4 linked regions of the Arabidopsis thaliana genome follow. The protein of the gene in region 1 interacts with the protein of each later gene in a pairwise test. Each region holds a gene or a part of one and is shown on either strand. Other genes may lie near its edges. The genes, in order: NAP1;3, AT3G02190, AT4G31985 and IBH1.

Region 1 (5,550 bases):
GATTCAAATTCAGATCAAATAGCACTAAAAGCAAAAAAAATAACTAATTGACTAAATCATGCTTTAGAAAAAATTAATCACGCTTAAACAATACTCCAATATAACATTTATAGTCAATGGACGACAAAGCTGTAAAAAAAAAAAAAGTCAATGGACGACAAAGATTTGAAGTCAATAGTTTGATAACCTCAGGGTAATGTGAAATGATTCATTAGCACTAATTGTATTTGTAATTAACTGATAAAAGAATCTTCAGTCCTTGAGAGGACATGATTTGTTACGGTGAAGCAAAATATTCAAAAACAAATACGCATTAATCCAAAACCGTTGTTTGGTAGAATCAGCAAATTCCATTTGGAGTCAAAATCAACTATTAAAACAAGTACATATATTTTTTTCTGTATATAGAAAGAGTCCCTTTCGTGTGCATCTTTGATTTTAACGTTTACTATTTAAATGACTCAATTAATTGATTTATTAACGAATAACGACACTCACTAATGCTAAATTGCTAATGGTCACGGTGTGTGATTAATTTGACTTTGACCATAATGAAATACTAATCGACCCATTGAAGAAGAAACTACATGAAAACAAATTTCTTTCTGTTCTTTTTTCTTGGTTTACAATAAGAATAATACACTTATGTCCACACAAAAAAAACAATGATAAGATTTATTTATTTTTAAATTAAAGAAACCAAAAGAGACTTAATTCAAGTGGTAAAAAGATATAATTTTGACGAACACACCAAAATTCAACTTAGTGATTAAAAAAAAAAAAAACAAATGCACCAAAAATAATTTATCAAGTATCTCCACATGGAGAAACTCACTCTTTTGCCTACAGCAACATTCCTATGAGCAGTCTTCAAAACATTTTGCCTTACATGGAAGCAAAAAACTAGGCCATGAAACTTCACTCAAAACCCAAAACATTTGTTTTTCTTTTACTGGTTTTCGTTTAGACTTTTCGATTTTGTTTACTGTTGTTTGCATTCAGGAGGCCTCTCTCCTTGTTGATCATCGGTAACCTGAGGTCTCCCTCCTTTCTGCAATATGATTTCAAAAAGAGTATGACTATAGAATCCATCTCATTATCACAAACATAGCACAATGGTTTGCAAGTACTAGATTTAGCCTAAGCTTATAAATATGCATGAGAAGGATTCTACATAGTTTCATTTATAATTCTCAGTCATATAAGAGTTCAAGTTTCTATGATTCACAGATTCGTGCATAGTGAGCTTAATCAGTTAATTTCAGCTATCTCCTAATTCACGGGTCATGTTCTCTACTTTTTAGATCATGGTCTAGCCTATAAATGTCAATAGTTTATGACCGTTGTATGACTCATTGGTATCGGATTATCTAATTAACTCAGACAAATACTATAAGAAGGGTGGAATATGGCTATGTACCTTGTGTAAGACTGATGGCTGCATAAACATTCAACACAATATCAAAAAGTTAGTAACTAACTCAGAAAAGGTAATTCCATGACAAGAAGAAATGAAACAAGAGGAATCCAATACCTTCTTTTTGGTCTTGCTTACTTCTTCCTCCTCATCTTCGTCGTCTTCTTCCTCATCTTCGTCTTCATCTTCTTCATCCTCATCTTCATCCTCATCGATATCATCTTCATCGTCATTGTCTATTTCAAACTCCTCTCCCTCAATAGCCTCACCAGTAAACCATGAGACAGCATGAGGTATGATCTTCTCCCGGATTGTAGAACTGCAAGAAGCAAGGAATACTTGAATCAGATACTAAATAATGTATTAACTTTCCGATAAAAGATGCTAGCTAGAGCTCTTATACAGTTGGTAATAAGTTAGACGGAATATATTAAATTGACAGAGTTTATGTTCAAGAAGACGAACCCAATGTCATAATCTTGTTCCATCAGATTCTGAAGTTCCTCGGCCTGCACCAAGAACAGAAAACATTACTACAAAAGTATAATCAAACATAGTCAAAATAGGGCCTGTCTTAAAACCAAATGATATCATACTCTTTCTTCGTCAATGTCTTCATCATCATCAGGAACTTGGGGAGGATTGAAGAAGTTGAAGAAGCTTTCACAATCTTCAGTTTTGGTAATTGGCTTGGCATTCTTTGCACCTTTCTTAGGCTTCTTCTTAAGAATCTTCTGAGTTAAGCATTTTCCAGGATACCAATCAATCTCTGTCCTGAGACAAAGAACAAAGAATCAAAATCCATGTTAGTGCATAAGTCAGTACAAGATTCCGCAGCTCCTTGGAAGAATCTCAGAACAAAATATGCTAGGGAATAAATATTACAAAAAAGTTATCAACAATTACCCAATAGCCTTCTCAAGCAGAGGCTCATCTTCATCAATCATATGATACGCCTTTGTTAATAGGGTGTTTTTGAAGTAAGGATTCTGGTCGAAGAAAAACTCAAGTTTGAATCCCTTTGGTTCTTCAATCTTGCACCACTTGATATCTTTAAGATATATAAGGGCTCCTTCATCACGCTCTGTGATCTGAAATCAAAAGAAATTAAAACTCTGGTCAATTTCCATGGATATGATTAAGTAACTCTAAATGAACAATCATAGATGTAACACCAACCTCTTCAGATATAACATCATTATTTTTCAGAGCAGTCAGCCAGAAACTAGGGACTCCTTTCTCTGCAATCCAGCCCGGTGAAATAAGCAAATTGTTTTTTTCTTGCAAGAATGATTACAATTTACAAAGGCAAAGAGAGAGAGAGAGTACCTTCTGCAGTTTTCTCGTCTCCTTGGTCCATCTTAGCATCCTCTGGAGCCCCTTCAACTTCAGTAGCTCCATTCACAATCTCATAACGCTGCACATTCCAAATGTCAAGCCAGTGTCAAGAGAAATTCGAAGCTAACTAAAGCCAACACAGCTGGAAATAAAGAAAATACAGGATAACTAAATTTTTCAAAATAGTTTAATCTTGCTACAACCAAATTACCTTGTTATACAAAGGCTGATATAACTTTTGATACTTGGCTTCAAGAGCAGCTCTCTCCTCGCGGAATTTTGTCTCTATTTCATCATGTTTGCCCTAAAAAACGAAAAGGATTCTCAGATAATCATCAAAAGAATGCACAGCATTCTCATATAATCAAAAGCATACAAATATACATTTCAACATCATACTCACAAGATACCATATCAATCTACACCAATCTATTGAACAAAAGCTTATATAGGAAACGTTAATCACAACATAAGCATAGAGCTCATAAAAAGTGAATGGAAGTTTTCCCAAACCTGAATCTCCCGCAAAACCTCAACACGCCTTCTAATTTTAGGAGTCAGATTCTCGAGCACATCAGAATGTTGTCCAGCTAGATTCTGGAGCTTGTTCTGTGAATCAAACACATAACAGTTACAAAAAAATCTCCACAGAAACTATAAAATGACGAAACGCCCAAATTACATGTTCCTCTTCAAGTATAATGCAAATCGATATAAGAAGAGATAGAGAAACTCACCTTAAGAGCGTTGACAAGACCAGCTCGATCCTCATCTTTAAGAGCTGCAAACAAACAAAAAAGCTTCTAAAACTTTGACTAAGAAGAAGCAAAGCCGCAGAAACAAAATCGGAGATATAGATTTACCAGAAGTGAGATCGCTGACATTGAAACTGTCCTTATCGTTGCTCATTTTCTGGAAATTTAGAGATCAAAACTGAAAGATTTGAGAAGAAAAAGGATTGATTGAGAGAGAGTGTGAAGAAGGTTTGAAAAGAGGTGGAGAGATTGAGGAAGAAGAAGAAGACTTGAGGGTTTTTTCTGGGTGGCGACTAAACGCAAAACGTGGCTTCCTCCTTTATAAAATTTAAACCTAACAACTGCCATTCTTTTTTTTTTAATTCCCTCGCTGGCATTTTTATTTACTTTTTCATTTTTTAAAATCTAAAATATCCCAATGCAAAATATGTGCCGTTTCTGCAAAAAGTGCCAAACACCTTGCCGTTTATCGCCAAACAAAGGAAACAAGTCAGTTGTCTAATGCTGCATTACACAATATAATCGACAACAAAGTGAACTTGAAAAGCTACGATGACAGAAGGCTAATGAATCATGCACTCTTGGCTTCTGTATCCTCTTCCTTAGGCTGGTTATCATTGGCATTAACTGTTTTATTCTCTGCATCCACATAGCGACCAGTCATCGGATCAACTGGGCGTGTGTCTCGTGCTCCACCTTTACGTCCCATAGCCACCATTGGAGGAGGAGGAAGTAAACCGGATCTGAATAGGAGACGTTGAACCGGGTCTGATGGCTGAGCACCAACAGATAACCAGTACCTGTACAGAACAAGAGAATCAAACAAAATGTCCATTAATCAAACTATATGCATCCTCTGTTGAAACTAGTCATTCAGAACAAAAGAAAGACAGACCAGGATCTAACTTTTAAGTAGTCTTGACATGTGTTCTTCTAATATCCGGACATTATAATCTTAATTTTAGATGATGATAAAGAGCATGACAAGATTCTAAAGCTACATGACCATACAATTATGCAAAAGAGGTTGTATATGGTGAACAATTAAGAATGTAAGTAAGTGTGTATACGAATAGATAATCAACAGGTTCTTCATCTTACACTAATAAGAAACAATTCCAGAACTCAGAGCAGAAGTTCCATAGAAAGACTCAAGACTGGCGGAGAAGTTTCATTTGTTATATAACAAAACTTGTTGATGAATTTCCACAAATATTTCAGTTTTTCCTTTCATAAGTTAGTGATTAAATGAGGTAGAAAATTGCTTCAACTAATGGTTCAATACCATGAAGAGAAAGAAAGTGATCAAAACCAACCATGGGAAACATGTAGATTCATTCGCCTTTCGATAACAAAAACCATTCAAAGACTGAACTCAGCTCCTTTGTATCAGATCGAAAGATAGTTAACTATAACACAATGTTGACTATACAACAATGCATTAAGATATCTAGAGGCGGCTAGAAGCTAACTTTAGCAATTAACCAAAACACTTCAAATGCAGAAAAGCCTTAATCATCTAGTGAAGCATTCAGAGACCTCTTTCTGAGTAAATTCAACCCAAAACCTACCTGATTTTACCGAAAAAAACATAAGAAACTAGAGAATTAGATGAGAAGAAACATACTTAATTCGATCGAACTTGAGACCCATCCTCTTACCACCGTCCTGGCCTGAACACATAGACCAAGAGATCGTGTATTTTAATCGAAAACTCTACGAACAACACCAATTGGAATACATTTTGTTTTGTCAATCACCTGGCAAAGGATTGAAGTAACCTAAGACCTCAAGATGCTTCCCGTCTCTTGGAGATCTGCTATCAGCAGCCATAACCCTAAAAAATGGCCGATTTTTGCATCCAAATCTCGACAGTCTGATACGTACAACCATGTTTCTCCTCCCTTTTCACCGGAAAAAAATCGAAATGATCAGAGCTGGCTAAGAGAGATAGAGAGAGTGAGAAATTCCAATTTCGAAAACTCTGAATCCATAAATCTTTTAGGGTTTGGATCCTTATTACGACGCCGTTTGTTGAAG
Region 2 (2,905 bases), on another chromosome or scaffold:
CACGGTAACAGGAGATCTTTAGTCTTTACAAAGTTTTGAGATCAAAGAATTGACTTTTGATTTGGAAACTGATAAAAACCAAAAATGTTTGTTGATGAGAACAGGACAGGCCATCTACTAAGGTTCATGCAGCTCCTGGTGGAGGATCTTCTCTTGATTATCTGTTTGGAGGACCAAGTCCTGCTGGATCTGGAAACAAATGAAGTTACTTGTAGTTTTTTTCCCACTATTCAGATTCGTGTAAATCATCAAAAGTGTTGGCTTTTATCCCTTAGTGAACCCTGTGTGATTCAATTGTGATGTTTGCCTTTTGTTCTCTTCTTTGTCTTGTTAAAAGGAATTTTCAGACAATGTTCTCTTTAAGAGTTCCAAGAAAATAAACTAAGTACTGATCAACCAAGAGATCTATATCAAATGAAACAAACAATGCCCACAAGATCTTGCGTTGAATCAGCCATGTTCAAAGCTCTGATCAATCGTAGGAGAAATGATTCGAATTCAGCCATATACTTACGTTTTATCATAGAGTAGAAAGAAACAGAGTCAAATCAACGACCAATTGTAGGAGAAAGGATTCAACTATTATAATTCATAATCATGCACTCTTCTTCAAGTTCTAAGATTTAAACATAGCTATAAGCCACAAAATCCTTAACAAAAAACTAAAACTTTTAGGGGTCAAAGACCACAATTCCGATACAAGAAAGCAATTAAGAAACTCGGACGAATCTGAGTCACGGTGAGAGTGCTCTAGAATCCTAGCTTGGTACGGCGCCAGTGCCTACGCTTAGCGTTGTACCTGTGTGAAGGTGATGGAACAATGGAACTCAGTATCAAAGTCTGCAACTTTTTCACGGATCGAATGAAAAAAGTTTACGAAAATCTATAAACCTGATTTTGTTATCAGTACGGAGACGGATCCAATTAGGGATCGGTCTGTTCTGTCTCATCTTCTTCCCTAGCTTCTTTTTGATCATGAACGACTTGTGCGACGGCTAATATCAGAGACCATGAAATCGATCAGGCGAAGGAAATATTTAAGAGAGATAGAACAAAGGATACAGAGAGGGAGAGAGTAAAAGTACCATCTTGACTTCAACGGTGGCGATCCGGCGGAACACGGCAGCGTTTAAACCCTAATCTTCTCAAATGTTAACTGAGGAAGAAATCGATTTTTATAAGGGTTGTGGACTAGAGCTCAATCCTGACCGTTGGAGTTTTCTCATAATTTATTAGCCGTCAGATAGGTAAACCGTTAATTTAGGAATCGTATTCGGTTCCGGTTACCTTTAACCGGAAAAGAAAAAAATATAGAGATTTAGGGTTTCATTTTCTTCTCTCTCTCTTGTCTCTGCTGGTCGGCTGCTGAAACAAGTTGTAATTGTGGTGCATTTGTTCTTCAGCGCAGCCGAGAAGATTCGAAACCGGAGCTAAGCTATGACGACGATTGTTCCCACCTCCGAAGAAAATCCCTTTCTCGCTGTTGTCCGATTCACTTCCCAGCTCGCCTGGGCCGATGCTGGTCCCGAGGTAACCTCCACACCTTGGTTGTGAATTTATAGTGGGAATTTAAGAATGTCTATCTTAAGTGAGATGGGAAATTTGATCTGGTATATGTTGTTTCGTTCGAAGAATCTGATTGGTTATGGAAGGGTTTGTTGATAGTTTCTGGACTAGAATAGTTTGTAATCTTTGAGGATTCTGATGCATCCGATTAGTTCAACCATCTAAGATTAGTTTCATTAAGCGACTTCTTAAGTTTTCAAGGCTTGCCTGTACTTAACTAGTTATCGTTTCAAATTTTAGGCAGCAGAGCCAGAAATTACCAGGCTCTGTAGGGAGGCTGAGGAGTCAATGGTAGCAGAGAAGTGGCTTGAATTGTCTTCGTTAATGGTCACTTCAGCTGAATTGGTATCTTCTAAGATATCTGAGAAAGGTTTGTGTTCCTATTCTTACTTATACCTGTTTATTTTGTATGTCTTTCGAGTATTCAATTCTCAGTGATTTGCATCTTTTTTTAATTCAGATCTTGAGTGTACCTACACCATCATTTGCAGCATTGTCAAGAATGCGAAAAGCCCTGAGCAAGTCCTTGAAATGGTGAAAGCTATAGCTTCCAAGGTTGCTCAACAACCCAGTGACAAAGCTTCACTTCGTTTGAAGATGTATGAATCGTTTCTGCTTATTTCTGAATGCTTTGCTCATTTATCACACTTCTCATTTTTTTTTTGTCTTAATCTTTGTGTAGCCTCTTCAATCTCTATAACCTGGTTGACCACCCGTATGCTCGATTTCAAGTATACATGAAAGCTCTTACACTAGCTGTTGATGGGAAGGTTACTGAGTACATAGTTTCTTCTTTTAAGAAGATCGATAACTTTCTGAAAGAGTGGAATATTGACATTAAAGATCAGAGGGAACTCTTTCTTGCCATTGCTAATGTGCTGAAAGAAAACAAAAGGTATTGAAACATAATTTATACTTTATAACTATGCTCATCAGTCATTCTCTGTCTCTTTCTTTTTTTGTTTCCGTTTGGGTATAACAATAGCCTCATGGTTTTTTCTATTAATACTCCAGCTTGGTGAATGAATCCCTTAAGTTCTTGACGAAGTACCTAGCAACTTTCTCCAATGAGGATGCTCAGGTCCTGGATGAAGCCAAGGAGGAGGCTGTGCGTGCAGTTATCGAATTTGTCAAAGCTTCCAGTATTTTCCAGGTATCATAATGTGAATTGGATTTGTCTTTCTTGTCCTGACACTGCTCTTTTATATTTGATTGGAATTTCAACGATGGCAATCTTAAATCTTGCAGTGTGATTTATTGGACTTGCCAGCCGTAGCACAATTGGAAAAGGATGCTAAATATGCACCTGTTTACCAACTTCTGAAGATTTTTCTTACTC
Region 3 (3,265 bases), on another chromosome or scaffold:
AAAGCGAAGTTAGCCTTTTTATCTTCTCTTTCCACCAAATGCTGTATATACAAGGTACCTAATAAGCTCCGCAGACTCAATCCTGATGCATATACGCCTCGGCTTGTGTCTTTTGGCCCGCTTCATCGTGGTAAAGAAGAGCTTCAAGCTATGGAAGATCAGAAATACAGGTATTTGCTGAGTTTTATCCCTAGAACGAACTCTAGTCTAGAGGACCTTGTTAGACTTGCTAGGACTTGGGAACAAAATGCTCGCAGCTGTTATGCAGAAGATGTGAAACTTCATAGCGATGAGTTTGTTGAGATGTTAGTTGTAGATGGTAGCTTCTTGGTTGAACTTCTTTTGAGGTCTCATTATCCTCGACTTAGAGGCGAGAATGATCGCATATTTGGCAATTCAATGATGATCACCGACGTGTGCCGTGACATGATTTTGATAGAAAATCAGTTACCCTTTTTCGTTGTGAAGGAGATATTTCTTCTCTTGTTGAATTACTACCAACAAGGAACACCTTCAATCATACAGCTCGCGCAACGCCACTTCAGTTATTTCTTGAGCCGCATTGATGATGAGAAGTTTATTACAGAGCCAGAACATTTTGTTGATCTTCTGAGGTCTTGTTATCTGCCACAGTTTCCAATTAAATTAGAATACACTACAGTGAAAGTGGACAATGCACCTGAAGCAACAGAGCTTCACACTGCTGGTGTTAGGTTCAAGCCAGCAGAGACCAGTAGTTGTTTACTTGACATTAGTTTTGCTGATGGAGTACTGAAGATTCCAACCATTGTCGTCGATGATCTCACGGAATCCCTCTACAAAAACATCATTGGGTTTGAACAATGTCGTTGCTCAAATAAAAACTTCCTCGACTACATCATGCTGCTCGGTTGCTTCATTAAATCCCCTACAGATGCTGACTTGCTCATCCACAGTGGGATCATCGTAAACTATCTCGGGAACTCAGTAGATGTTTCAAACTTGTTCAATAGCATCAGCAAAGAGGTTATCTATGACAGAAGATTCTACTTTTCGATGCTCTCTGAGAACCTTCAAGCTTACTGCAACACACCATGGAACAGGTGGAAGGCGATTCTGAGACGTGACTACTTCCACAATCCTTGGGCAGTTGCTTCTGTTTTTGCAGCTTTACTTCTTCTCCTTCTCACTTTCATACAGTCCGTATGCTCTATCTTGGCTCTGTAATAAGTCTATTGGTCAATAAAACTAAACATTTGGCTCTGTATCTTAATGTGTCAAAATTATCTTTGGTTTCACAATGATCCATGAGATGGCACTGCTTAAAAGAACCAGTTGGTGTAGAAGTGACACTAACAACAGTTCCAGGCAAGATACGCAAACAAAGAAATTATATAGTAAATAACTAAAGTGACTAAAACTGATGCTTGAAACTAGGATTGGAACCTATTAAGCACACAATGTACAATTGCAAGAAGAAGTAGTGTGTTTTTAGAGCCTACAGATGTCAAAATCAGTGATAGAAAAGAACAGCTATTTGTTTCACAGACATGTGAGACATAAAGCTTGCTCTAGGATCAATCACGTCCTACGAGCAAGTACAAACATTTGTAAATCAATAAGAGTACAAAAGGTTATATCAGAGCTTTCGTAGAACAGCCATTTCCCCCAAAATCTTACAACAGGAAATTTCGTTGTAAGAAATGTTGACTTCTTGAGTGTAGAAGTGTCAAACTTGGGAACGTGACCAATAAAAAATTGACGTTTCGCTACAAGACTAAAAATCATGGGCCTTGGGCCGAAACATGAAACCTAAAAAGACTGTTATCACATAAAAAGCCCAATAAAGAAGACTTTACTAGGGTTTCATCGTTTTAACTTCTTAAAAAGGTTAGTCGCCTCTTCTTCGTATTTTTTGCCTCGCTGAGCAGCTGCGAATCTCACGACTTCAAGATGGTTAGTCTCGCTCTCTCGCAAATTTTTAATCTTTGTTACAATCGTTTGTTAGTTTCGCCTGTTTGGATTGATTAAAGAGTTTGATTTGTTGTTAGTTAGATATCGAAACGAAATTAGTGATTTTGATTTGTGTTGGAAAAATGAAATGTAACAGCCGTCGCACAAGTCGTTTATGATTAAGAAGAAGTTGGGAAAGAAGATGAGACAGAACAGGCCTATTCCTCACTGGATTCGTCTTCGTACCGACAACACCATCAGGTTCGACTATTCTTGTTTTTTTTTGTCTATTGTTTATTCCCTGATCTATCAAATTGAAGATATATTTAGTTGTGTTAGTTGATCGATTTAGTTCTAAAACTGATTTCATTGTGTGGTTAATTTCAGGTACAATGCCAAGCGCAGGCACTGGCGTAGAACCAAGCTCGGATTCTAAGTGATAAGCCTTCTAAAAGAGTCTTCTTTATCTGTTTGGTTTAGCATTTCCTCAAGTCTTCTTTTTGTTTTAAGTTATGACATTTTCATATTTCTGTAAGACTTTTACTCTATTATGATTCATGTTACCAAATTTTCTTCGTATTGGGAGTTGTTTCTTAACATTTGTGTGATTTGACTATTGAAGTATCTCTTGGTTTGCTTCCATGTAGAGTTGTTTCTTAAGAATTTTTTCTCGCAACCTAGAATCTGGATTGGGTTTAAATTTAATCATCTACTTGCGAACTAGAAGCTTTAGAATTTCTTGCTAGTAATTGTACTGGTTTTAATATCTAGTGGTTTTGAATCTTTTGATAATGTGATAGTGAGTCGATGCTTCTTATAGCAGACAATGTGGAATTGCACTGGTATTAAGATAGATCACACTGTACAATCTGATCATTTCTGTTGTAACTCTTCCGGTCAAGTATAGTTGTGAAATTATGTAAAATACAATCGTAACAAGTTCTTCTATAACTCGATGGGAGTCTCCCAATACAACAAGGCCTGTCAAACACGATCAAATCAAAAGTTTCCTTGAAAATTGTCTAGCAATCATAGTGTGATGCTAGCTTATTAATTTAGCCATCTGGTTTCAATCAAAGATCAAGAAGAAGCTAAAAAGGGTATATAAAACTGTTTCTTATTGTCATCTACTGAGATGGAAGCTCAGCTTACGTTATGGTATGAGTCGATGATCGCATCAGCAAGATACTCGCATTTGGCCAGAGATAATCCGGCCAATGATATCCTCCCGTCTTTAGTCATATACACATGCCATTTGTCCGTCATGTTATCGCTCTGCTCGTTACCAAAAGAAAACAGCACAAACTTCAAACCACAAGTCTAAACAAGGCCA
Region 4 (3,751 bases), on another chromosome or scaffold:
AAACGAATGCACGAATCAGATATTTGATGTGAAATATGTGGAATTGACCAATTTGTCTGTTTACGTACACGTGTATAATAATTGACAAATTAAAGTAGGACACTCGTATGAAATATAAGTATGACCAACTGCATAAATAAGACGTGTAGATAATCCTTCCAACGGAAAATGTGATTATAAAGAAAACAAGTAATCAGAGTCTTGTAATTTTTGTTAATAATGTTGTTGTGAGCGACCATTTGAATTCAATCCGACATAAATCATGAAATGTTAGAGTTATACAAAAAAAAAAATCTCTCTTACCTGAAAAAAGAGTTATACAAAACAAAAAAGGAGTTAAATTATATATATTCTACAAAATTCTTTAACCTATATAATGTCAAGTATTTTTAAGACTTATTCAAGTAACTCCGTGTTAAACAAAAAAAAATCATTTAATTAAATGATTCATAATTCTATAAATATATATTTTTAAAATTATTAGATTTATCATATATTTTCTCAAAAACATAAACAGTCGTATATGTATAGGAGATATATAAATACAGAATGTATATTTTATGATAGTTATAATTCCGCTATAATTTTCTTATAACTAATATGTTATAACTTTATATATATAATCCATCCATAGAAACATCATTGACGAATAACACAATCAAGAGGAACCAAGTAAATTGCATAGCTTAAAAGAAAAGAAGAAAGAAAATTCTCTTAGCATATGATAAGTAATAAATCCCCTTTTATCATATGACAAGGGCAAGTTACCAAGCCCTAATGTTTAAACCGGCCATAGCATATGATAAATAATAAATCCCCTTTTATCAAAATTCAAGAAAAGAAAAAGAAAAAAATCTTTCGTTACTTCGAGACTAATACATATCCACACATTTCATATATGTATCCTATCTTACACGTATGTATATATATAAGAATATATATATATATATATATATATATATACACATATATATTCGTTATGATTACCCCAATCCAATAGACTATGTATGTGTCGTATCTCTATATACATCGATCATTGATGATGATGTTGATGATTAATTGATGATCATTTGGGAGATAAGCCATCAACGAGACACTGCATGACCTTGACCTGCATACTAAGGCACTTGATGTAATGAGCCGTCTCTTCCATCAGCTTTGACGTCTCCATTCCTCCGCCTCCCGGAACAAGATTCCTCAGCCTCTCCGCCGCCTCCTCCACCACCGGAGCTCTCTGGTTACTCCTCCTCCGTTTTGATGATATCTTCCACTTCCTCCTTGAAAATCTTACGATCTTGTTGTCATCTTTGTCTGCTCTACGCAAGAGGGCTCTGCTCCATAGCCGGCTACTCCCTCCGGCTGCTCTGGCCATGGAAACGTACGCAGCCTTCTTGATCTTCCTCACGCGGTAGTTTTTTTGGTCCGGAGTATCAAAAGGGTTTTGTTTTCTGAGATTTGAGAGGGATTGGAGGAAGTGGAAGGCAAAAACGTCCTTTTCAGGGACATCTGTGTTTATGAGTTTGTCTGCAGAGGCCATTGTTTGGGTTTTTTAGAGAAGAGAACTTGAGTTGAGAACCTTTATAAAACTTTTTTTTTTTTGAGAATGACACAATATTAGGGTTAATATAAATGGAAAGGTGGAGAGAGAGAGAGAGATAGAGAGGAATAAATAATGTTTATTTTTCCTTGTACTTAACTTTTCTTTATGTTTTTTTATGTCACAAGACACACAACTATTCAAATTCTCTATAAAGTTTAAATTTAAACTATAGGTTCAACTATTTATAACTCATGTTCTAAAAAAAAAAAGATGTGTTAATAGCTTTGAAATATTGAATTTTGGAGCTTAATTGGTCCGTCAAAGTTACGTTGCGTAAAAATATGAGAATATGAAGTTATAAGTGGCAGTTTTCTTCAATGGTGAACAGCAAATAAATACAGTTCTATGTTTAACTTTGGGGGTTTACTAATATTAGTTCAAATTTTTTGTAGATTCGTCTGTTATGGTTTAGTGGTTTGACATCGATTGCTTACTGGTGGCTACTTAGATGTGTAAATATATCATTATGTGTTAGAATTTTAAAATGAAATGTGAATTGTATAACCCATGTATTTCGGAAAAGTATAATTTACACCTAGTGTTATAAAGTCTTGAATAAATAAATGGGCAATTAGTGGAAAACGATGTTTTGGAGCTTGAAGAAAAAAGTTGATGCCAATAGATTAACAGAACTTGGCTATTTTGGGTATATATATTTGACTATTTTGAAATTTGAAATATTAATGTATACTACACCCAAATACAATATATATAGCATTAATGCTCGTATACATCTTAGCTAAAACAAAATAATAATTCGGATGATGTTTAAGTACTAGACGCAAATTAATCAAGCTCGTTTGGTTCATAGCTTGGTATTAACGGAAAAAAGAGCAATTTAGAGCAGACATCAGATTATGGAATTAGATTCCAACCACACTATTATGTTTATTTGTTTGTTTTTATAAAAGGTTAATTTAGTGACGAATGCGTATGAATTCATTAACGTGAACAGCTAATAGAGACTATTATGATAAAATTAGGTAAGCTATATACATATATGTATGTATTTATGTTAACATTAGTTGACAACTAATGACGATTAAGATGGAATATGATCGATTGTGGAAAACATATAAGCTCATTTTCAAGGCAAAAGAAATAACAAAACCCAAAATATCAATTTAATTGATTCATTACTTGCTCGATATTTACTTCCACAAACAAAATTCAGCCAAAATCCAACTCTCGTGAAACGACTGATTGAGGATGTTTATTCGAAACTGAGTTTGAACTATACGTTAGTTTAGAAAGTAACACCATTGAACCTGAGAATAACTATGATTATTTCGACGATATAAAGTGTTAATAAACTTAATCAATTAGCCACTCGCATCATCAAGATAAAACGTGTTTAAAATTGATCAGATATATAACAAAGTATTCACCATGCAAGAGAGCAACAACAAAATATGAGATTATTCAATTGGCTTGACCAATAGATGACGTTACAATTTATATACACCAAATATTACTAACCAATTTAGAAAAGACAACACATGAAAATATAAAAGAAGAGAAGAGAGACTTGAGGAATACGATAAGTGTTTGGTTAAGGCTATAATTTAGCATTAGTCCCATCTCTTTTGTGTTAATCACTCTCTCCCCTACCGCTTTGCCGCCGGACGTATTTTTCACGCCATTTAATTCTTTTGTATAACATCATCATGATCATATTTATCTTTTTTCAAGATTCAGCTCCAAAATCCCTTAAATCTCACTGTTTTCTCTAAGGTTTCAAATTTCACATCTATCATAAAAATACGTTTAAAGATTAACAATTTCGGGTCAATAACAATTTACAAAATTGTTGATATTAGGAGTGAAACCAAATGAATAAGAAGGTGTTAATCATATAATAAGAACTAAAAAAGAGTTGAAGAAGTGGTAGAGTAGGTCCACTAATGGGCCAACCACCACATGAAGGCACATGGCTATGGCCTTTACCCACCTCCACTTTCCTTTCTCTCTTATCTTTATCTTTAATTTTTTTTTGTTCTAATTATTCAATTAATATTAACTACACCATTCGTTTTCTTTGATTCTCTTCTTAATTTAATAATAAGTCGTTGGGGGCGAATAAACTTTATCATACTAGTTGATTAAAATATCCCAACTAAAAATGTAAAACAAAAACAAAAGAATAAATGC

The links.
Region 2: the proteins of NAP1;3 (region 1) and AT3G02190 interact in a two-hybrid assay, tested with the Arabidopsis thaliana proteins (one large-scale study listed by BioGRID).
Region 3: the proteins of NAP1;3 (region 1) and AT4G31985 interact in a two-hybrid assay, tested with the Arabidopsis thaliana proteins (one large-scale study listed by BioGRID).
Region 4: the proteins of NAP1;3 (region 1) and IBH1 interact in a two-hybrid assay, tested with the Arabidopsis thaliana proteins (one large-scale study listed by BioGRID).

The regions. Positions count from the first base shown.
Region 1 is NC_003076.8:23,030,732-23,036,281, reverse strand, and holds NAP1;3 (nucleosome assembly protein 1;3), read right to left. Parts: upstream 3,834-5,550; 5' UTR 3,665-3,833; coding exon 3,619-3,664; intron 3,537-3,618; coding exon 3,493-3,536; intron 3,365-3,492; coding exon 3,269-3,364; intron 3,060-3,268; coding exon 2,967-3,059; intron 2,835-2,966; coding exon 2,747-2,834; intron 2,659-2,746; coding exon 2,597-2,658; intron 2,509-2,596; coding exon 2,324-2,508; intron 2,192-2,323; coding exon 2,014-2,191; intron 1,927-2,013; coding exon 1,883-1,926; intron 1,737-1,882; coding exon 1,535-1,736; intron 1,439-1,534; coding exon 1,421-1,438; intron 1,052-1,420; coding exon 983-1,051; 3' UTR 589-982; downstream 1-588. Other genes in the region: AT5G56940 (Ribosomal protein S16 family protein), read right to left, coding at 4,082-4,310, 5,138-5,183, 5,271-5,403. UniProt on the Arabidopsis thaliana protein: May modulate chromatin structure by regulation of nucleosome assembly/disassembly. May function in nucleotide excision repair (NER). Involved in somatic homologous recombination. Could be involved in response to abscisic acid (ABA) and to salt stress.
Region 2 is NC_003074.8:405,255-408,159, forward strand, and holds AT3G02190 (Ribosomal protein L39 family protein), read right to left. Parts: upstream 1,234-2,905; 5' UTR 1,089-1,233; coding exon 1,086-1,088; intron 996-1,085; coding exon 892-995; intron 800-891; coding exon 751-799; 3' UTR 502-750; downstream 1-501. Other genes in the region: SP1L3 (SPIRAL1-like3), read left to right, coding at 1-4, 105-203; AT3G02200 (Proteasome component (PCI) domain protein), read left to right, coding at 1,438-1,530, 1,807-1,936, 2,027-2,165, 2,249-2,461, 2,581-2,719, 2,815-2,905.
Region 3 is NC_003075.7:15,467,999-15,471,263, forward strand, and holds AT4G31985 (Ribosomal protein L39 family protein), read left to right. Parts: upstream 1-1,842; 5' UTR 1,843-1,932; coding exon 1,933-1,935; intron 1,936-2,089; coding exon 2,090-2,193; intron 2,194-2,319; coding exon 2,320-2,368; 3' UTR 2,369-2,735; downstream 2,736-3,265. Other genes in the region: AT4G31980 (PPPDE thiol peptidase family protein), read left to right, coding at 1-1,206; ASP5 (aspartate aminotransferase 5), read right to left, coding at 2,878-2,913, 3,085-3,207.
Region 4 is NC_003071.7:17,907,033-17,910,783, reverse strand, and holds IBH1 (ILI1 binding bHLH 1), read right to left. Parts: upstream 1,778-3,751; 5' UTR 1,538-1,777; coding exon 1,067-1,537; 3' UTR 574-1,066; downstream 1-573.